Linked DNA regions of Xenopus tropicalis. The protein of the gene in region 1 interacts with the protein of each later gene in a pairwise test. Links are inferred from orthologs where the notes say so. Each region holds a gene or a part of one and is shown on either strand. Other genes may lie near its edges.

Region 1 (5,975 bases):
GGCGCCGAAAAAATCGCAAAAAATACAAAAAAGTCGCAAAATGTTCGTTTTCCAATCTGAATTTTTCCAATTCAGATTCGGATTCGTGGGTTAGTAAATGTGCCCCTAAATGTTTAAATCTGCTATCGCAGATATGGGAAGAGAATCTGAGCACTTGGCAATGATTTTTTTCAAAAATGCAGCATGAAATAGAAACAGTTGTTAAAAATGAATTTTAAAAATAAATGTTTTGCATTAACCTGGTAGAACTGAAACAGAAATTGTTAACTCAGTTATAATACAGTGTATTGTTTAAAGCATACCTAAGTTTGTCATGATTTAGAATAGACTGTCCTACATTGCAAGTGCCAAAGGGTGGATCTTACTAGGCAGTGGGTGAGGTTTGGGGAGGATTTAGGTTTGATCTAAAATGTTCACAAAATTGTTGTAGCACTGCAGGATCCTGATAACTGCTAAAATCTCCCTTAGGGGCTGATTTACTTACCCACGAACGGGTCGAAATGAGTCCGATTGCGTTTTTTTCGTAATGATCGGTATTTTGCGATTTTTTCGTATTTTGTGCGATTTTTTCGGCTTCTTTCCGAATTTTTCGTTACCAATACGATTTTTGCGTAAAAACGCGAGTTTTTCGTAGCCATTACGAAAGTTGCGTAAAATCTGGCGATTTTTCGTAGCGTTAAAACTTGCGCAAAAAGTTGCGCTTTTTTCGTAGCGTTAAAACTTACGCGAAACTTTGCACCTTTTAAGTTTTAACGCTACGAAAAAGGCGCAACTTTTCGCGTAAGTTTTAACGCTACGAAAAAAGCGCAACTTTTTACGCAACTTTCGTAATGGCTACGAAAAACTCGCGTTTTTAACGCAAAAATCGTATTGGTAACGAAAAATTCGTAAAGAAGCCGAAAAAATCGCAACAAATACGAAAAAATCGCAAAATGTTCGTTTTCAAGTCGGAACTTTTCCAATTCGGGTCGGATTCGTGGGTTAGTAAATCAGCCCCTTAGTGTCTTAAGCCTCACACATTTTTGCAGGACGATCGGTCGCACGAAACATCGTCAGATCCGCCACACACCATTCAGGGCTGAATCGGCAGGTAAGGAGGTAGAAACAATAGGATTTCTACCTCCTTCTGCCGATTCAGCGCTGAAGGGAGATTTTGGTCAGGCGCCTTCTATGGCGCCCGATCAAAATTTTCAGACTGGTCCGATCGGCGAGTCGGCCAATATCAGCAGCTTCCTGCGATATCGGTCTACTCGCCAACATACCATACACGCACCGAATATCGTACGAAACGAGGTTTCGTACGATATTATCGGTGCGTGTATGGCCACCTTTAGAACAAAGGATGCAATGCATAACAGGGGCAGCCATATACTGCATGCTTCTAATTTATGTACAAATATCTAAATGTGAGTTTTTTTAATTGGGGTATAGGAAAGGTATTTTATTTTCTTCATGCAAAATAAAATAGTAATGTACTTTTTTTTTTTTTAAGAATGATTTTAAAAACTTTCTATACAACTATTTATTATTAGGAACTACTACAGAAAAAAACAGGATTTTTCCTTTATTAACAAATTAGAACAGCCCTGTTCAGAGTCGGTTGTTTGTCCGGGCATTGGCGACTACAACTCTACACCACGTTTGTCTGCCATAACATAGTGGAAGAGTGTGACAAGTCACAGCTTTTTAATGTTAAAATGTCCACTTGTTCAGTCACAATGACTATCCTCCATTTTGTTGCTTGTTCTTCAGCGACAAGCAAGATGGCGGGACAAACGTGCTAACAACGTCAGACACTACTACATCCTATAAATCCGGAAGAAAGAGTTGAGCAAATCACTAACAAATTTTCGCGCGTTTATGCTTATTAGAGTACAGTCTTTAGGCAAAAGAAAACGAGGGAGGGGATGGTTTTATGCATTTTACGTAACCAATCATCTTAACGTTCTCTAGTTCTGCCTACAATACGTACGTGCGACGTAGCGCTTTATCCTATAGCAACTACCAATTCCAGCCAATCATCGCTTACGTTTTTTCCTCCTTCGACACCAACCTGGTTTCGGACCAATCGGTAGCGTCTATTTATTCATCTACCAATTATCTTCGTTTTCTATTCCTAGAGGGTGGACTCCGAAGGTGATAAAAGGTAAAGGCTGCACAGTTCCGTTCAGTCATCTTGGAGCAAGGAAAGAGGAGGAGTTTGGAAGTATTGTGACAAAGATAGACCGCGTGATGGGTAAGTAGTGTACCAGGCGTTTACTAGGCCTCTCATGTAGTTATTGCTGTTTAGAGAGCTTTTCTTCTTTTAGTCGCTGGTATTGGTGTCAGTCGCTGCTTCCAGCCTTATTTAGTTCTATATTTTGAATGTATAAACGCATATTGTATCTCAAGTCCCGTGGCTAGTTATATCTCAGCGCCGATGTATAAACGCACGTGGTTAGAGTTAAGCAAAACACTTTCCAGATTATGTATTAAGGAATATTTGGCTATTAAATCCGTTGAGTTTGTGCGTAATATCCAGTTTTACTCTACATACCAGCGAATTGTAGGCCTTTCTGCGGTGTCTCTGCTGAGTTACAATACTTGCTTGACTTGTGCGTTTTTATGCCAGTACTGCTGCAAAATCGCATGATATAATGAGGGTGAATTCGTGTTGGTGTTGCAAGTGTATTCCTTTTATTTGCGTCGCTAGCGATAAAGTTTGTGTTTTTATACGTATATACCGCACTGGTGCGAACCTATACAGGTGGGGCGCTGCAAGGTTTCGAGTGTATTAAAAAAGTGGTTAACTCCACAATACAATTTCCTACATACATTCATTAACTCTAGTTAAAGTCGCTTCCTTCCTATCGCTGCCGTCTCTGCTTTTATGAAACAATGTTGCAGCAGCAGCAGCTAACTGATCTGGGAGAAGCATGAAAGGCTGACTTTTGCTACATGGGTTCAAAAGACTGAACCAGCATTTTCGTCTACTGGTTGCTTGCAACCTGGGCGTTTCCGGATAGGGGATCTTTCAGTAACTTGGACCACCTTTCCAAAAATCATCAAATAAACTCTGTAGGATTTGCTTGTCACCAATATAGATTTATGCATCTTGGTTATTAAAGGAGACTGAAAGCTGTGCCAAATGTTAGGCTCCCCTTAATGATTGTAATCGCTTACCTTTTACCCCGGGCTGGTACTACTGTTAGGCGAAATCCACACCTGCCCAAGGTAGGTGCAAGAGAGCAATCTTCTTTTGTCTTTGCACCGCTTGTGCAGTAGAGTGTAAAGACGAACTTTAACAAAAAAGTTGGCATCTTCACCCTACTGTGCATGCGTCGGCCCCGGGATTCAAAAGCATGAAGAGACGGAAGGCTGGTGTGGTTTTCTCCTAATAGGAACAAAAGCCTGGGGTAAAGGTAAGCAATTACTGGGTGGAGCCTAACATTTGGCACCCCCAGTGATTTTTGCCTTTCCTTCTTTTTTAAATACATGGTACTGTTCTGTTACCACAGAAAAGGAATGACAACCTTCCCGTGATTTGGAGCTTTTCTGGTTAAGGATCAGATCAAATATATATATTTTTTTTTAATATATACACCCCCACCCCCTCTTTTCAGTATGAGTTTAGTAGATAGTGCTTGTGCATAAGATACCATTGTTTTAATTAAGATTAATTTGTGGTTATTCCTTGACTCTAAAGCTGGCCATACACGCACCGATACTATATCGCAGGAAGCTGCTGATATCGGTCGACTCGCCGATCGGCCAGGTTAGAAAATTTTGAATGGGCGCCATAGAAGGCGCCTGACCAAAATCTGCCGTCAGGGCTGAATCGGTAGAAGGAGGTAGAAACAATAGGATTTCTACCTCCTTCTGCCGATTCAGCCCTGACGGCAGATTTTGGTCAGGCGCCTTTTATCAGCCCTGACTGTGTGTGGCGGATCTGACGATGTTTCGTGCGACTGATGGTCGTACGAAACATCGTCAGATTGCCACATGTGTGGCCACCTTAAGGGTAATGGCACAGGGGATGTTTTGTTGCCTGCAGTAAATCTTCCCTACCACATGCAGCAAAACATCATTGTTTCCTTCCCACTGGCTAATATGCAAATCGCTGGTGGTGAAACATATGTGGTGTGAAGCACACTGGCGATGTGCATTATAGCCAGTTGGAAGGAAGCAAAGATGTTTTGTTGCCCTTAGTAGTGAAGATTTATTGCAGGCAGCAATGTCCTGTGAGCCATCACCTCAATGGTGTGAACAGACATGAAAACTTGTTTCAAGTTTTAGTGGCAATTGATCTGTTGGGTGAGTGAAAATCGCCCAAACCAAACTTACTATGGAGACCAGGCAACTGCCATCAAAATGAATGTTGTGCAATTCAGAATGGGTTAACTGAAGGGTAAAAACCCACGGGTGCTGTTCAGTTGCCCATGATAGATCTGTTATAGTGGGCGACTACCGCTCTGAAATGACTTTCCACGGCAACTTCTCGTCAATTTGTTTTTCGCAGTCGCACAAAGTTGTCTGCAGGAGGGGAAACTTTGCGCGACTTCAGACCAAAGTCACCCGCAATATCAGAGGTCTATCATGGCCGACTGAACCACTAGATGGGTTCTTATCCTTTACTGGTAGATTTTTGTGATAAATACTGTCCAACATATTCCACCTTTTTTGTAAATTGACATCTATACAGAAAAGTCAAACGGATCAGAAATAATTTTATTGAAAGAAGAAAAACAAAACTCGTACAAAAACCGTTGCATTGCTGTGCACACCCTTTAATAATCAAGAATGTGGCTGCATTCAGAATCAACCAATCTCAAATAGTCTCATCTCAAATAGTAGTTAGTATACACCTGACCTCTGATTGAGCTCAGATAAAGTTTGACTGTTCCTGTAAGATTATTCCTCTTGAGGTGGCCATACAGGTAACCATTACTATCTTTCCTGTGACCATTTGTCCTCAAATATGGAGGTAGAAACAATAGGAATTCTACCCCTATCTGATGATTCAGCCCATAACACAGCTTTTGCTCTGGCACCTTCAGTGTTGCCCAATCAAAATCTTTTGTCCGGCCCAGTCAACAGCTTTTGAGATATTGGTTGTCTCGTCTATCCACTATACATCGAATATTGTACAAAGTTAGGGTTCATATGATATCAGTACAAAATTAGGGTTCATATGATATCAGTGCACGTATGGCCAGCTTTGTTCTCACACTCCAAAAAGTATTCAAATCATTTAACATTCTATGGAACACGGTGAAGACAGTCATTAACTAGTGGAGACAGTATGGCTCTAGAGTGTCTAACAACATCAGGATGGAAAGCCATTTCAGAGTGGTTAGTCACCCACAATATCAGAGGTCTATCATGGCCGACTGAACCACTCCATGGGTTCTTACCCTTTACTACCCCTATCTGATGATTCAGCCCTTAACACAGCTTTTGCTCTGGCGCCTTCAATATCGCCCGATCAAAATCTTTTGTCCGGCTCAATCAACAGGACAACAGATATCCAAGGCTTTTGTGATATTGGTAGTCTCGTCTATCCAACATACATCAAATATTTTACAAAATTAGGGTTTGTATGATATCAGTACAAAATTAGGGTTCATATGATATCAGTGCACGTATGGCCAGCTTTGTTCTCACACTCCAAAAAGTATTCAAATCATTTAACATTCTATGGAACACGGTGAAGACAGTCATTAATAGGTGGAGACGTTATGGCTCAAGAGTGTCTACCAACATCAGGATGTCCCGTCAAGACAAGGAGAAAACTGGCCAGGGAGGCCACCAAGGGGACTATATAAACATTTAGGGCTCTGGCACACGGGAAGATTAGTCGCCCGCGACAAATCTCCCTGTTCGCGGACGACTAATCTCCCCAAGTTGCCATCCCACCGGCGAAAATGTAAGTCGCCGGTGGGATGGCACACGCGGCGGCGCGATTTCGGCAAATCGCCAAAAAATGCCTCGCGAGG
Region 2 (5,450 bases), on another chromosome or scaffold:
GATCACCGTCCTCTGACCTTGTTAAATAAAATCATTCCTGTATATTTATTTTTCATGTTCTTCTGTCTCTGCTAGGTTCAGGCCCAGGTTGTCCAGGAGACAATAGTACCAAAGGAACCACCTCCAGAGTTTGAGTATGTTGCTGATCCTCCATCAATCTCTGCATTTGACCTGGACGTGGTAAAGCTTACAGCACAATTTGTTGCTCGAAATGGTCGCCAGTTTCTCACACAGTTGATGCAAAAAGAGCAGAGAAATTACCAGTTTGATTTCCTGCGTCCCCAGCACAGTCTTTTTAACTACTTTACCAAGCTTGTGGAGCAGTATACCAAGGTAATAATCTTCATAATCCTAAAAACTGTTAGTGGCTAAAAATCCTTTTCTTAAAGGGCACCTATTAGGGCAAAATTGTTTCCCCCAACCAGAGGTGAAAGCCAATAGAGCCAACATTCTGGTTGGAGGAAGCAGTACCATTTTTTTTGAAACCCTTCTGTTGGGTAAACAATTTGGCCCCATAGGTGTCCTTTAAGTAAAAGCTACATCGGCTAGAATGTGTTATATATCTTGAGAAATGATTAAAATATCAAAGTAGTTTACTTCCAGCCTGGCCATTGTTATTTAAATATGCTGCTTATGCAATGCTTTGTCATAATCACTTTTCATATTGTATAAAATGAGTGGCTGAATATTTTTATGAGCAACTAAAATGCAGCTGTTAACAAGTATTAACTATCTTTTAAAGGGGTTGTAAACCCAATAATAATACTGTCCCCCTGCTCCCCCTAGTTTTGCTAAATTGTCAAAAAACGTAATTTTGGATGCAAGAAAATCCACCAATGAGCATTTTACTGACTAAAAAAACCTCATAAGTGCAAGAAAAGAGACCGAGAACACTGGTTCCCAGCACTATGCCAGGCATCTTGAAAAGAACAGGGAGCCAGATTTACAAAGATTAGCTGGGATTCTAATTGGTAGATTTTTTGCATGTTAATGCAGCTGCTGGCACTGGAGATATGGAGAAAGGATTAGAAAAAGTTCTATTGCTTTAAAAATGCAACCCTGATTGTGCTGGACTACAACTCCTAGCATGCCACAAACTTCATTATATGTTATTGTTCTGGGATTTGTAGTCCAAAAACAGCTAAGTAAACTTTGGTTTAGCAGTGCAGTGCAGCAGGTTTTAGTACCCCCTTTAAGCTGCACTGTCAATATTGTCATTTATAGGCTCTAAGTAGAGATGGCTCTCGTGCACTGTGCCCCTGATATCCCTCTGGTAATCTCTTTCTTTCAGATCCTGATACCACCAAAAGGATTACTTGTAAAGCTAAAGAAAGAAGCTGAAAACCCAACAGAAGTATTGGATCAGGTAATGCAACCCTCTGCCTTCTAATATATTCTACCTGCATTTCTGTAAATTAGAACTTTTGTTGATTACTCTACAGTCTTTATGTTGGCTCCAAGTATACTTTCTGTTTTAAAGGACACATAAAGCCTAAGTTGGGCACGTCTCTTTCACCCAAATGGCATTATTTGTACTGCATATATCCCATCCGTTTGCCAGCACCATCACATTTTCGTAAAGCAAATAGCAGCTTTCACCCTGGGACCCTTATTCAGCTTACATTTCATCAAGAATGCAGCCTCACATAGGCAGAACTGTCTGATAAAAGTTCTACTTTGTTTGGACTGAGTTCAGGAGAGAAAGTTAGGAGAAAAAAATTGAAGCAGAAAGCTAGAGCTGAGTTTCTATGGAAACCAGCAGTGCCATCTCTTCACTGGCTGCTAGACTGGAGGGCGTGTTTAGTAATCTGAGTTTAGAACAACTAAACATGCCCACAAGCCAGAAGTCAATGAAAAGTCAAAGCAAATTCCTGAGGGAGGGGACCGAGTGGCTTACAGGAGGAGAAGGAAATCTTAGTTATTTAGGGGATGTTGCAGCCTTACTAACCTTATTAACCTCTGGACAACCAGAGTAGCAGGTATTGAAAGATTTCCAAGAGGATGTTCACTGATTAAATTTGTGTGTGTGAGGTTTACATGTCCTTTAAGGCTGCTTATTCAGTAAGTAGCAAGTTATTTTTTTATTTATAGCAATGTAGTTGCTCCTTAAGTCTTAAATGCAATTTAGAGTATGTAAAAGCTAACCTTGCAAAGCTATCACTTTGCCAATTATGTTATTAACCTAACTGTCCAGTGTTCTCTAAAAGCAGCATTGGTTCAAGGATTATTTTTTTTTTGTAAGTAAATGCAGATTAACCTAACACCTTCCACAATGCCAGACATTGGCTAGAGTGATGTTAAAGGAACAGTAACACCAAAAAATAAGTGTATAAAAGTAATTACAATATAATGTACTGTTGCCCTGCATTGCTACAACTGGTGTGTTTGCCTCAGAAAGACTACTATAGTTTATATAAGTTAGCTGCTGTGTAGCCACAGGGGCAGCCATTCAAAGGAGCAAAGGCACAGGTTTTTTAGCAGATAACAGATAAACCCCCATTATATGGGGCTTATCTACTAGTTATCTGCTATGTAACCTGTGCCTTTTCTCCTTTTTTCCAGCTTGAATGGCTGCCCCCATGGCTACACAGCAGCTTATTTATATAGTAGCTTTTCTGTAGCAAAAACACCAGTTTTTTGCAGAACAGCAGCACATTATATTTGAATTACTTTAAAACACTTTAATTTTTTGATGTTACTGTTCCTTTAAGGTTGCTGCCATTGGGCTCTGGAGCAGTGTAAATGTGTTAAATGTGTAATGAACCTTAGTTCACAGTCTGGCAGCCAGGAAAATGCTACCTGCCTAAATGTTTAATGCTTTTGTTTAGTTTGGTGGAGTAAAATAACAACAAAAAAAAGTAGTTTGGAGTAGGAACCCAGATTCTAGTAAAAACAAACTAGAATTCTTCTACATACAGTGCAATTTTTGACGCTATGCTTCCTACCTTTTGGCAACACTTTGGGGAGGGCCCTTTCCTGTTTCTGCATGCTCAAAGCAAAGTCTGTGCAGAATCAGTTGATTAAAGGAGAAGGAAAGGCTACACAAGAGTTAATCTCAGGCTGGAGGCTTACCATCCGTAGTCTGAAAGGTGCCCTTAAGTCTCCCCATATCTCCATGGATTACAAGAAGATAAGCCAAAACGGATATAAAAGCTAGGAGCTGTGTGCAGAAAGTTCCCATAATCCCTCGCTGATTGCCAGACTTCAGGACTTGCAACCGAAACGGCACATGCGCAGTTGTCTCTTCTCTGGGGGCGCACAAGCAGGCGCACTCCCTGCAATCAGATCTCTTGAGCCGGCCCCTAGAAGCGTGCACTAGCAAGCGTCTCGTTGCTATGGCGACGCGCCGTAAGCAGAAGCCTCCGGCGGCGTTCATTCATTCAAGGAGCACCTAGGCTGGGGGGAGGGAGGAAGCTCGCGCATGCGCAGTAAATACGCCAAAGGAGAGGAAGTGGGCATACAAATTCAAAGATGGCCGCGCCAAACCTTAGATAACACTGAAACTTTCGGGTAAGATTTTATAAGTTTCTCTTACTATAATTGAGCCCAAAGTGTAGTGTTTTTCTTTATCTATACTGGGACTATGCATTGGTACCATTTATAAAATTTTCCTTGCCATCTCCTTTAAATGGATGTGGAAGAAGTTGACTGCAGAGCCCTAACTACAAATGCCTATGTGATGTATTAGTAAATAATTCGAATAAGTTTACCTAGTTTAGCCTTTTGTTAGTATAAAACAATGCAGCTATCAACATTTTGCAATAATTGTCTATGTGCCTCTACCTTCTGCCTTTTCTTCTCACAAATGTTTTGTGTACTCTATAAGTAGGTGCGTTATCGTGTGGAGTGGGCAAAGTTTCAGGAAAGAGAGAAGAAAAAAGAGGAAGAAGAGAAAGAGAGAGAACGTGTTGCCTATGCACAAATAGACTGGCATGATTTTGTGGTAGTGGAAACTGTGGACTTCCAACCAAATGAGCAAGGTAATGCAACAAGTGCATTTGAATAGAGATATATTTTCCCTTTCCTAATTAGCTGTAGAAAGTACAACTACAGCATTCATCCCTAGGAAAAAATGGGTGGGTGGGGAAAAAACTTGTTCTTTTCCCCCACCCTGTTGCTGTAATAGAACAGGTTTTATAGAAGCTAATTGGACTGTGTGCTGCTGTAAATACACTGCCTCTGCCGACTTTTGCAAACCGTTTTGTATCACAGCAAGAGAATTGCATGCAGGAGAGGGGAGTTTGGTGGTTCCCAAAAAGTGCTGGGAGATGTGCCCTGCAAAAACACCTTGGGTAAATTACTGTGCTAGTTACTTTGTGTCTGGGTTTTTAAAATTGGATAATACCACAGATAAGTAGATATAGTTGAATACAGTATGAATCAGTAGGACAAGGAGTCTTACCATATTTTATAGTCTTTGTGCAAGTGAGTCTGAACCCTTCTACCGTATAATAAGTTTTATGAAAATATTTGCCTTTTACAGGTAACTTCCCACCTCCAACCACTCCAGAAGAGCTAGGGGCTCGAATACTTATCCAGGAGCGCTATGAGAAGTTTGGTGAGAGTGAGGAGGTAGAGATGGAAGTGGAATCTGATGATGAGGATGAAGTGAAGAACAACAAAGCAGAGGATTCCTCCTCTCAGATGGACCAAGATACTCAAGTTCAAGATATGGATGAGGTGAGACATTTTATGGTTAATTCTTGCATGCAATGTACTTTGCATTTCTGCTGTCATCATTTACAGGATAGATTAATCCTATGCTTTGATACTCGTGGATTAATTGGGCAACTTATTCTAATGAAACATTATAGCTTAATGACCTAATAAATTATCCTTAAGTAATCGTAAGCAAATACAAACCAGTCAATAAATTGTAGGAATGCACCGAATCCACTATTTGAGTTCGGCCGAATACCAAACCAAATCCTAATCCCTTGAATATGCAAATTAGGCAGTGGAATGGCTAAATAAAAGTGTGCATTTCACGTGTTGACGTGACCAAAAGTCATGTGATTTTAAGGATTCAGACTTGGTTTTGCCAGACACTTGGATTCAGCCGCATCATTCAGCCTGACATAATCTTGGCCGAATCCTGGATTCGGCACATCCTAATAAATTGTCTGTAACTTTTATTCTTCGATATTCAAAACCATTATCCATGACTGTTTATCTCTTCACAGGGTTCTGATGATGAAGAATATACATCAAAGGCTCCTCTTCCTCCAGAGTCTCCTATGCCTCCACCACTGCCTCCTACACCAGACCAGGTTATTGTCAGGAAGGATTATGACCCCAAGGGTGAGTTTGCTGATGTCTGCTTTTTAAATTAATTGAGCTCAGTAATTTTACACTACTAATTGTTTATCCCCACAGCTTCAAAGCCTTTGCCCCCTGCTCCTGCTCCTGATGAGTATTTGGTGTCCCCTATTACTGGAGAGAAAATACCT
Region 3 (5,669 bases), about 80 Mb from region 1:
CATGCATTTCTCAAGGCAGGAAGAGTACCACAGTCTGTTTCTTGTTACTCAGTTCCTCCATCTGTGTTTTTTTGTGGTGGGAGGATGTGGAACTGTTTGGCTTTAGTTTGCCATTAAAACTTGCCACAAATTTACTGGTCTCCTTCTCCCCAATGGAAAGGTGGTTCACTTGTAGGGAATGGTCTTTTCTAGGCACAGTATCTTCTGGATGTAGTTACTATTTTTAGTGCTCTGAAAATGTCTTTTGGCTATTTGTTGCTCTTAAGAAATTGCATGGCTACCTGTTCTATAGCTGTTAGGTAGCAGCCAGGTAAGTTCCAGTTGAGCATGAGTCTTCTACACTGTAGGCAATTTAATTTCATATTTTTAATTTAAAATTTGATATTAAAACTTATTTTTTTTGTTTTGTTTTTGACAGAAGCTGCAGATCTCTCTCAGTACAGGGCCAGGGGCCCGTCGAAAATACAGGGGGATGAACGCTGGAAGCTGCCCCCCTAAAGGGCACTGGCTTCTTACACTCCTCCCTCGCAAAGGTCTTGTACTGAAGAGGCAATTTTTGGGTCTGCAACTCCGAGCCCCCTAAGTTACTCACTCAACATGGTGGTGCACAATGCAGGCATTCCACCCTGAGTACTGATATTGGGCTACTTCTACGTCCCATTTGCCTGCTGATTCAGTGTCATGTTCTTGCCCAGCCTTATTGAATAGAAGGACCACCTTTCTAGAAGGGAGATCACACAGATGCTTCCCACTATGCCATCTGCTGGGCAACTGTTGGGAAGTCTTTTGGCTGTCAAAGCAGAAGAATAGCCCTTCTGCCCTTCTTCAGACCTTTTGTGGCTACTTCCTAAACTGTTTAGTTCCTCCTTTCTCCCTGCCTGCACATGCAGGATGTGGCAGTGTGCGTGACTTCCCATTCTGTCATGGAGAACATAAGAAAGTGAGCGCCCTAGAAACCTGTCATTTCCTTTTAACACACTAAACTAATGGACAGAGCAAAAATTTAATTTGTTCATCCTATTGGTTTCAAAGTTATTCTTCCCTCCTAAATAGTGGAACTTTGTTCTCCCATTTTTTCCTTTTTTTAAATTAATATTATGCTGTAAATTAGCCAAACCTGCAGTTCTTGTGAGTGACCTTTCTGTAATAAGAAACAGACATTTATCCAAACTTCCCTTTTGGTAAAATCTGATAATTAGCAGCTTTGTCCACATCCACCTTTCAAAGATTTTAATAACTTTATTGATGGCAGATGGTGAGTGTTGGAGGATGGGGTCTCTCTTCGCCCATTGACAGGTTCACAAACTTGGACTTGGGAGAAGGGCTCCCCCACAGAAGTATCTCGCTCAACCAGTGCACCTGTTGGGACCTCTTGCTGCGCCTGGACCGTTGATGCATGCTCCCTGCTCCAGTGGCCCCTTATCCAAGGATGAAGGGCGGCGACACCGCCATGAGCCAAAAAGACGGGATTGGCGACTGCTGTTTCCCTACCTCACTGAGGGAGTGTGCATCGGTCCGGACACCAGCTCTTCTGAGGAAGAATCCCACTAAGTTTAATTTAAATTATTTATGGTTTTTAGTGCTTTAATGGTTTTCTCTTTTAGCTTTAGGATTTTAACTGGTTCAGTGTCAGTCATCTCATATCTGATGTGTTCAGTTTGGGCATTATATTAGTTACAGTTTATGGAATAGCTCTCTGAACTATATTGTCAGTGAATTTATCTTCAATGTTTTCTAACATAATTGTGACTGGTAAATAGTATTATGCATCTTTGCATATGAAGCCCTAATCCATCTGAAATGGTCAATATTCTGATTTCTAATTTAAGACTTCAGATAAGAACCAAGATAAAGGCAGCTTTAGCTTTTGGAACAGAAATTACAGGGAATCACAGTTTGCCTAGACACTCTAAGCTTTAGTCACTGAAGTGTAGTAGAAATCAGAAATAGTTTGAGGCAAGATTTTTCTACATTTACTAACTTTAATCTTTGTCACTCTTCTGGCGTGTGTATTTCCTACACGTCAATTTCCCACTCAATTTTTAGATGTGGAGGATATCAAGTTCGTCATTAATTATGACTACCCAAACAGCTCTGAAGACTACGTACATCGCATTGGCCGTACTGCCCGTAGTACTAACAAAGGCACAGCTTACACCTTCTTCACACCTGGTAACCTCAAACAAGCCAGAGAACTGGTAAAAGTTCTAGAAGAAGCAAATCAAACAATCAACCCTAAACTAATGCAGCTGGTGGACCATGGCCGTGGCGGTGGTGGAGGTAGGTCATTGCCCTGAGGTTTGTGTACAGTATATAACTAAATGTGATGGTTGGATTTGAAGTTGTCTTTAAGTAACAAGTGTTAAAAATCTTAACTACTTATTAATTTAAATGTACTCTTCCACCCTGAGTAGCAGAGTGTAAGGGAGGGGTGGCTGGTATAAAGAGCAGTATACAGCTTTCACCTCTGCCTTAGGACAAACGCAGCTCACAATTAAAATCTTAAATTATATTTAGATAACAAGTGTGTGCTGGGACATGCATAAAGCAATATATCAATACAAAGGAGACTACCCAACAATTCTGGGCATGTGTGGCCTGCTTAAAGCAGTTTGGCCTATTTCAACTTTACTGACTGACCATCTAGATGTGTATGTCAGTTGAGGGATGAGCTTTTGACAATCCTGTGATCCTGATGGATGGCAGATGAAATCTGTCCTGAAGATTTAGAGCTAAGCTACACAGGAGATGTAGAATGGTGGCAGGTTGGCTGATTACATCCTTGCATAGGTCAAAATATAATGGGACTGATAACAAAATCTGATGTGTAATGTATATGGCAGATTTGTCATCCGGCAGGGCACTCCACTGCAAGTTGTGTCCGACAAGGTAAAATCTGATAGTGTCTAAAAGACTTTGTTGGTTTTCTTCGTCAATGTAGATGCGTTAACAAAACGCACCATCTTACTTCTGATTTGACTTACATTACAGCAGGAGGGATCAGATTGTGTAGCATCCCACTTTTGCTGATAAACAATGTTGGCAGGTGCATTGGAAGCTGAAGAAAGTTCTTAAACTATTCCTCTTTAGGTCTCTTCTTTCTGTAATGTGTAAACAAATGTATTTCTTTACTGTTTTCCTGTGTTTAAACCATATGTTAAAAACTGCTCTAAATCTCTCTAGGTGGCCGATCCAGATATCGCAGCATTCCCACAAATAACAATCCAAATATGATGTACCAGGAAGAGTGTAACAGAAGAATGCATGGTAAAGATGGAGGAAGACGTGATGGGAGGAACAATAACCGCGATGGTGCTATTTCTAACAATCCAACCGGGCGAGATCAGAACCGGCCAAATTACAGCTACGGTGGCCAGGTTTCCAATTTCCAACCCAACCAATACAGCTACGGACAGGGTGGCTTCACAGGAGTAGCTAACAATTATGGCACAGCAGCATATGCCCAGGCACCGCAGCCACTGATGTCACAGCAGTTTGCCCCACCTAGCTCCTCTGGCCTATTGAACTATATGAACCAGGCAGCCAGTTATCAGTATCCCCCTCCTCCTCCACCACCACCTCCACCTACACGTAAATGAGTTCTTCAGCCTTTTTATCTTTTAGCCTGTGTTACCAGTTGATGTAATACACAATTTCCCTCAGTAAGCTTTATGTTTTGTTGCATTTTGTTTTTCCTTTATCTTGATCACAGCAATGTTTGGGAATTAGACTTTTCCAATCTTTGAAGCTGTTCTTTAAAGTTAGTGTTCAGGATTCTATGTGCTTTGTTCTGGCAGTAGCCTTAAGATGACTTGATGTATTTGCAGGGCTTTTCGGTTTTTTTTTTTTGTTTTTTTTTACCTGTTTTGTTTTTTTTTTTTTTTTTTGCCAGAAAGTTTTGAAAGCTACTGTGGCTGCTTTTTTCCTTTTTTTTATTACTCCTGAGTTATTCCAGGTAGGTAAAATTCCAGACTGTCAAGCATCATTCCTCCCTTATTTCCCTGTCACCAAGACTTTTTTCTCTGTATTTATAATTCCCTTGATTGGTGTATAATCCTCCTTTCTTCTGGGGGTGGGGGACATCTACAGTGTTATGCCTCTCCTAAATACATTGACCCTCCCACTATATAGACACTATTTTGGCATTTTTGTTGCCATGTGTGACAAAGACAAAGGTAGGTTCTTTTAACAAGCATTAATAAGTTCACATTAGTTAGATTTATTTTTCATGGCAGGTTGTCTGTACCTCTCATCTCACTGTTATTTCAGCTTCTGTGTTTTGTGTTATAGTTGCATTTCTCTCAGGTGTAATTTTGTTTTTCAGTTACAGATAATGCCCCATACCTTTAAATAATGTTACCATTCTAGTTTGCTGGAGTGGTTATTACATTTTTAAAATTCATTTCTCTAAATTGTCATGAGAACCATCTGACACCATTTTGTAGATAATAAATTTTTTTTTAAAAAAAAAGTCACCATGTGTACCATTGTTTTATTAGAGTGGTGCTTTTATTGATCTCGCTGTAATATTTAAAGCATAACATTCAAATGTTCTGGCTATCTGTCAACTCTATTCTCACCAGTGTCCATTTCTGAAAGTGTCACGGATGGAAAGACTGAAGCAGCCAAACTGTCTTGGTTAAAAACATGACATTACCACCATGGTCTGGCTTGTCTTCATGCAGGAGTCAGATTTTGATTGACAGGTCAAATACACCATAGCTTTAATAGACTGACTAGGACAGTGCTGTCCAAATTCTGTAGTACCAAGGGCTGGAATTTATCTGGCCTTCATGGCGGAGGGCTGATATTGGAAGCCACTGTTGATCACTTCTAGTCTTTAAACCACGCCAATGTTATTACAAGAATGTTTAAGACCATGTCCACACTAATGTTGGTAGCACACCAAAAAACCTTAGCGACCCCCTGACAACTATTTCCATATGTTAATAACCCCCCACCAGGCTGCTCCAACATCTCCAACAAGACTGTATAGCAGAGTATTGCTGGGGCTTACAGACTGAATCTAAGATGTGAACAATGCAGGGACTAGTTAATCTAATACTGATACCTTTTAATGCTTGCACAAGACAAGCAGTCACAGGGGCCAGACTTTAATGCAGAGGCCGCATAGGGTAGACCCTTGGGCTGCTAGTTCAACAGCACTGGTCTAAGCAAAGGAAGCACAGAGCACGCTGTTTCAAAGTAATAGGCTCTGACACAGCTGAATTTAGAGAGAGAGGCTTCAAAGAGGGTCATATTTAGAAAGTTATCCTCCCATGAGATGAAACTTATATTAATTGTAAATTAATAGGCAATGAAAAAAATTAGTTGAAAGTCTAACAAAAAAATAGAAGGAGCAAAGTTAACTATGGCATATAAGGCATCCAAAGATGTAAAGGTGTATGTTTCTATTGCAAGAAGAGTAGTGAAGGGAAAGTTCAGGGACTGGAAAAGGTAACGAGCTTGGCTTGCAGGTGGTAGAAGATTGGTTCAGCTATGACACCACAGCCTCTGACACCGGAATATATGCCTGTGGGTGTTAATGTGGATAAGAGAAAAATAACATGTTGAATTTTATTTTGCTAATGCTTGATGAAAGTATTGTGGTTCATCCAAGTTGCTGCCTTGCAAATCACCACAGAAGACACTCCTATCTCTGCTGCCCA
Region 4 (5,450 bases), on another chromosome or scaffold:
AAAGCACAATTCAGCAGGAACAGCCCCCTAAGTTTGCTCATAGCCTGTAGAGAGAGATACCATAAAACTATGGCACATAGGGATTCCCCTGTACTAAGCACAATTCAGCAGGAACAGCCCCCTAAGTTTGCCCATAGCCTGTACAGAGAGATACCATAAAACTATGGCACATAGGGATTCCCCTGTACTAAGCACAATTCAGCAGGAACAGCCCCCTAAGTTTGCTCATAGCCTGTACAGAGAGATACCATAAAACTATGGCACATAGGGATTCCCCTGTACTAAGCACAATTCAGCAGGAACAGCCCCCTAAGTTTGCCCATAGCCTGTACAGAGAGATACCATAAAACTATGGCACATAGGGATTCCCCTGTACTAAGCACAATTCAGCAGGAACAGCCCCCTAAGTTTGCTCATAGCCTGTACAGAGAGATACCATAAAACGATGGCACATAGGGATTCCCCTGTACTAAGCACAATTCAGCAGGAACAGCCCCCTAAGTTTGCCCATAGCCTGTACAGAGAGATACCATAAAACTATGGCACATAGGGATTCCCCTGTACTAAGCACAATTCAGCAGGAACAGTTTAGTGTATAACCAAGCTGCTAAACTCTTCTAAATATTCTTTCTGACAGAGTGGGGTTATTACGGGAGACATGATAGAGATGATTTTCTCCAACAACCCAGAGCAGCAGCTTGCAGCGACGCAGAAGTTCAGAAAACTGCTATCAAAAGGTATGTTCTGTGCATTTGCCCACCTGCCCTGTTCAGTATCTTCTTGACATATTATTGCCCTTTGAGGTACCACTGATTCGCATTTATTTTCATGTTAGCTGAATTTGCTGGTTCATAAATACCTGTAAATACATCTGTATTAACCTTGGGGTTGAGCATGGGCAGTGCGAGTCTGTAGCAGCTGTAATGTGCTCAATAAACATGTGATTGGTGTAATAACAGTGTGAGTCTGTCTCTTAACAGAGCCCAACCCTCCCATTGATGAGGTTATAGGGACTCCGGGGGTGGTCGCTAGATTCGTGGAATTCCTGAAGCGGAAAGAGAACTGTACATTACAGGTAATGTGCCTGAATGAGAGATGAGGAGCACACACGTAGCCGTCAGTGGGAAACACAATCACTCCTAGCTGCATTTACCCTTTTATCCTGGGCAGCCTCTTGTGCGCCATCCGTGTCCCTTGGAGTGTGCTATAATGGGCCACATTTAACACCACAGCTTTGACTCTGTATGAGCTCAGGGGCACCGTGACGCACAGAAGGTTATTCAGTTAATCAGACGGCTTGCTTAAGGAACCATAGCGGCCAAAAAAGATAAGACATCCGGCCAAGGTGAATTCATGTGGCACAGGCAAGCATTGCAGAAATAACATCCCTGCTGAAATCCCTGTGACTTGTCACAGTTGTCAAGCTCAAGATTTAGCGGCAAAAGGGGAACAGTAACTATTTTTCCCTCCACACTTTAAAGGAGAAGGAAAGGCATTTTGGCATATTTTGCCAATAGATTAGTCACAATAGTACAAGCTAGAATGCTATATTTATTCTGCAGAAAGCTTTACCTGCCTGAGTAAATGGCCCTAGAAGCTCTGTCTGTTTGTTTAAGATAGCAGCTGCCATTTTAGCTTGGTCTCAGTAGCTTCTGTGCTGCAGCTCTGGCTGCTGGTAGCTCAGATTACACAGAGTTGGGAGGAGGAGAAGGGAAGGGGAGAGAGGAGAGATGGGAGGGGGAGCAGGGAAGGGGAGAGATGGGAGGGGGAGCAGGGAAGTGGGAGAGAGGAGAGATGGGATGGGGAGCAGGGAAGAGGGATAGGGGATAGAGGAGAGATGGGAGGGGGAGCAGGGAAGGGGGAGAGAGGATAGAAGGGAAGGGGAGAAAGGATAGATGGGAGGGGGAGAGAGAAGAGATGGGAGGGGGAAAAGGGAAGGGGGAGAGAGGAGAGATGGGAGGGGGAGAAGGGAAGGGGAGAGAGGATAGATGGGAGAAGGGAAGGGGAAAAAGGGTAGATGGGAGGGGGAGAAGGGAAGGGGAGAGAGGATAGATGGGAGAAGGGAAGGGGAAAAAGGGTAGATGGGAGGGGGAGAAGGGAAAGGGAAAAAGGGTAGATGGGAGGGGGAGAAGGGAAAGGGGAGAGATGGCAGGAGGAGCACAGCAAACTGAGCAGACTCGTGCCCCTGACCTGAAGTCTGACACAGAAGAACATGTATACACGAAAGAAGAAAATAAATACTGCGTTTCTTTTGATAGAGGCCACATAGGAGGATTCTGTGAGTGCTTATTTACTGTTAAAGCTTACTGAGTTCTTACCATTCCTTCTCCTTTAAGGCTGAAGACAAATGGGTGTGCGTCTAACACTGCCAGGCTTTTCTAATTAAAGTTAATGGGAGGCAGCAGGGTGTTATATGTTTACAAAGCAACTCCTCATCAGCCTCAGATTAAAAATATGGCATCACCCAAACAGATATAATTAAAAGCAAAATGCAGGTAAGGAATGCACTCATACTGTACTGCCTACGGAGCCAATATTGCAGCTCCCGTCCATAGGTGGTTCACAGTAATTCAAACATCCAGCAGATAAGGCATGATTGTGTTCCTTTGACTTCCCATGCATCCTGATGTGGCTGCTAATGGGTTAATATGCTAGCAGTACTGTATCATAATGTCTGCAGGTGGTCTTTGGAAGTAACTCTTGTCTTTCCGTTCAGTTTGAAGCAGCGTGGGTGCTCACTAACATTGCCTCCGGGAACTCCGTACAGACCCGCATTGTCATCCAGGCAGGAGCGGTGCCCATCTTTATAGAGCTGCTCAGCTCAGAGTTCGAAGACGTTCAGGAGCAGGTAATAGGGAGATTATATTCACCCCAGACAACCAGTTTGAACCTTACATCTGCTTGCCCCCCACCCTATATGATTAAATACACAGCTACATACAGACTTCCCATACAGACACCTGCGTGACGGCCTCTCTGCCCCCCACGCTTACTACCCCCCGTAAAGCCTGGTCAGTCGCCTTAAAATTGCTAGGTCACCCCCTCCACTACTATCCCCACCTATGGGGAACTCCTACCGTCACCATTCCAGACTTTATATTCTGGCCTTGCCACTTGATTACTTGTAAGACTTGATGTAACCTTCCAGAGTTACCCATAACTGCAACAAATATGTCAGCCTCCAATGCTTCCCTCTTACAGATTCCTCCGAGGCATTCCACTCACAATTTTCCACACACTCGCCCCAACTAGTTTCACTCAGAGGAAGCCCCGTGTACCCCCTCCCCTGACAAAATGATATCTAGAATATACCAGAACTTGCAACTAGGGATAAACCGAACCCTCGAATCCATCCGAAGGGATTCGGCCGAATACCGAACCAAATCGGAATTCTAATTAGCATATGTTAGTTAGGATCCGGAAGGGGTAAAAAAAAAATTTCCCTAACATTTAACCCTTCCAAATCCTAATTAGCATATGCTCATTCATGCTAATTCAGATTCAGTTTGGCCAGGACCGTGGATTTAGCTGAACCCTAATCCTGGCCAAATACCGAACCGAATCCTGGATTCAGTGTATCCCTACTTGCAACTACCCGGACCCAAAGACTAAGCAAAGACTGGCAAGACCCTGCTAGAGACAAATTAGTGCAATACAAACCTATAGATAACCCCTGCCAGATTTATATAAATGGGGCGCTCTTCTGACGACAGTTGCTCTAGATGCGGGGGCTTAATTTTTCCACATGATTTCGAAATGTCCCCACATTCACTCTTTTTGGACCCAAATATTCGACTTCCTGGCCTAAAACCTAGAATTACCTAGAATATTGGCACCCATATTTGTCTCCTTGGGATACCGCGAGCCCACGTGTGTTTGCGCAACTGTGTACTCCCCCTTCATGCAAAAAAAAAACAAAAAACAATTGCCGTGCATTGGATGGGTACATCCCTCCCCTCCATTAGAACTTACAGATAGGATATCAGAGGGCAACTAACAAATCTGACAAAGTCTGGGGACCTTGGTGCAATGTACTTCAAACACATTCCAACCACTGGGTGCCTGAAACCAACCTTTTTACATTACTGACTAACCCCCACAAAAAAGAAACAAACAATGCTACAAATTGCTAATCACATACTGACTTGATTCCTTGGTTTAAACCACGAATGTCATTTTCTTCTCTTCCCTAACAGGCAGTCTGGGCTCTAGGGAACATTGCCGGAGACAGCACCGTGTGTCGGGATTATGTGTTGGACTGCAATATTCTGCCTCCGCTTTTACAGTTAGTACCTAGAACTTTGGGGTGTTTTATGATTTTTTCCCTGTGTTTTTAAGTAGCTGTACTTGTTATGTATGAAGATATAGTAGAAAAGATGTTTAGAATTGACTATAGGGGCAGGGTGCTGAGCAGAGGTTAGGGTTACATTGGGTGGGAAATACATATTGAATGTTTAGAGCTCATGGACTTGGGATGTGGTTATTACTGTCAACATGGAGTCCATATTTACTCCGTTATATTCTTGTATTATTTTTCAGATTACTGTCCAAGCAGAACCGTCTTACAATGACTCGAAATGCAGTGTGGGCACTGTCTAACCTTTGTAGAGGGAAGAATCCACCCCCTGAATTCGCCAAGGTAACAGTGAGGCAGTTGGATTTCAGTGTTATTGCTAAATGGGCTTTAGCGTGCTGGCACTGGGCAGATAAACACATGGTTATTGTACCCACAGCATCAGTTCATGCTTTTTGTAACCAGCCTTCTCTTTAGTAACCTTGTTATATCCAGTCTATTTTTTGACCAGCAGTTTCAATGTATGCAGTTATTTCATTGGCCAGAAGCCCTGGAGAGCGAAAGAGCTCAATCCGAATACACCCACAGTTGATGTGCCAAGGTCTGCTTGAACCCACCCAACCCGTGGGTATCGGGCCGGCCTGCACATAACTAATATATAGGCCTTTCATTTGCTTGGCAGCATCAGCAACTTTCTTTTCCCATCTTTTAACTGGTCAGTAATCTTCCCTTGCATATCATATGCCTATTCCCAGGGGCCCCATTAGCACTGGCATCTTGTGTTTATTGACACTGGAAGCAGAACCAAAATACGTAGAGCTCCTCTCCTTCCACTTACCCATAGGTGGCCCTCCTGCACTTCCACCTTAGGGGCTGATGGAAGTCAGGGGGCCAGCATATGTCTATCAAATGGACAAAATACCATCACTTGCTTTTTATCTCTTGTCCTTTATTGGCCAGTGGTATTACTGGCGGCTGCTGCTTCTGCATCATTATCACACTGGTATCATAACACTTTAGGTGAGTTATTTGCTGAAGATGCCATATTGTCTTCCTCCCCAGGTTTCCCCATGCCTCACTGTCCTGTCCTGGCTTCTCTTTGTCAACGACACTGATGTACTTGCCGATGCCTGCTGGGCGCTGTCCTATCTGTCAG

What was found. The genes of interacting proteins can lie anywhere in the genome.
Region 2: the proteins of sf1 (region 1) and sf3a1 interact in binary tests that used the Homo sapiens proteins (3 or more experiments, as listed by UniProt). The link is inferred for Xenopus tropicalis from reciprocal best matches to the Homo sapiens genes SF1 and SF3A1.
Region 3: the proteins of sf1 (region 1) and ddx17 interact in binary tests that used the Homo sapiens proteins (3 or more experiments, as listed by UniProt). The link is inferred for Xenopus tropicalis from reciprocal best matches to the Homo sapiens genes SF1 and DDX17.
Region 4: the proteins of sf1 (region 1) and kpna1 interact in binary tests that used the Homo sapiens proteins (3 or more experiments, as listed by UniProt). The link is inferred for Xenopus tropicalis from reciprocal best matches to the Homo sapiens genes SF1 and KPNA1.

Annotation. Positions count from the first base shown.
Region 1 is NC_030680.2:40,393,040-40,399,014, forward strand, and holds the start of sf1 (splicing factor 1), read left to right. Parts: upstream 1-2,185; 5' UTR 2,186-2,232; coding exon 2,233-2,236; intron 2,237-5,975. UniProt on the Homo sapiens protein: Necessary for the ATP-dependent first step of spliceosome assembly. Binds to the intron branch point sequence (BPS) 5'-UACUAAC-3' of the pre-mRNA. May act as transcription repressor.
Region 2 is NC_030677.2:144,341,481-144,346,930, forward strand, and holds part of sf3a1 (splicing factor 3A subunit 1), read left to right. Parts: intron 1-75; coding exon 76-333; intron 334-1,291; coding exon 1,292-1,366; intron 1,367-3,829; coding exon 3,830-3,980; intron 3,981-4,483; coding exon 4,484-4,680; intron 4,681-5,183; coding exon 5,184-5,301; intron 5,302-5,376; coding exon 5,377-5,450. UniProt on the Homo sapiens protein: Component of the 17S U2 SnRNP complex of the spliceosome, a large ribonucleoprotein complex that removes introns from transcribed pre-mRNAs.
Region 3 is NC_030680.2:120,521,169-120,526,837, forward strand, and holds the end of ddx17 (probable ATP-dependent RNA helicase DDX17), read left to right. Parts: intron 1-2,046; coding exon 2,047-2,280; intron 2,281-3,183; coding exon 3,184-3,599; 3' UTR 3,600-4,007; downstream 4,008-5,669. UniProt on the Homo sapiens protein: As an RNA helicase, unwinds RNA and alters RNA structures through ATP binding and hydrolysis.
Region 4 is NC_030678.2:3,394,003-3,399,452, forward strand, and holds part of kpna1 (importin subunit alpha-5), read left to right. Parts: intron 1-637; coding exon 638-737; intron 738-980; coding exon 981-1,075; intron 1,076-2,716; coding exon 2,717-2,848; intron 2,849-4,196; coding exon 4,197-4,285; intron 4,286-4,539; coding exon 4,540-4,639; intron 4,640-5,356; coding exon 5,357-5,450. UniProt on the Homo sapiens protein: Functions in nuclear protein import as an adapter protein for nuclear receptor KPNB1. Binds specifically and directly to substrates containing either a simple or bipartite NLS motif.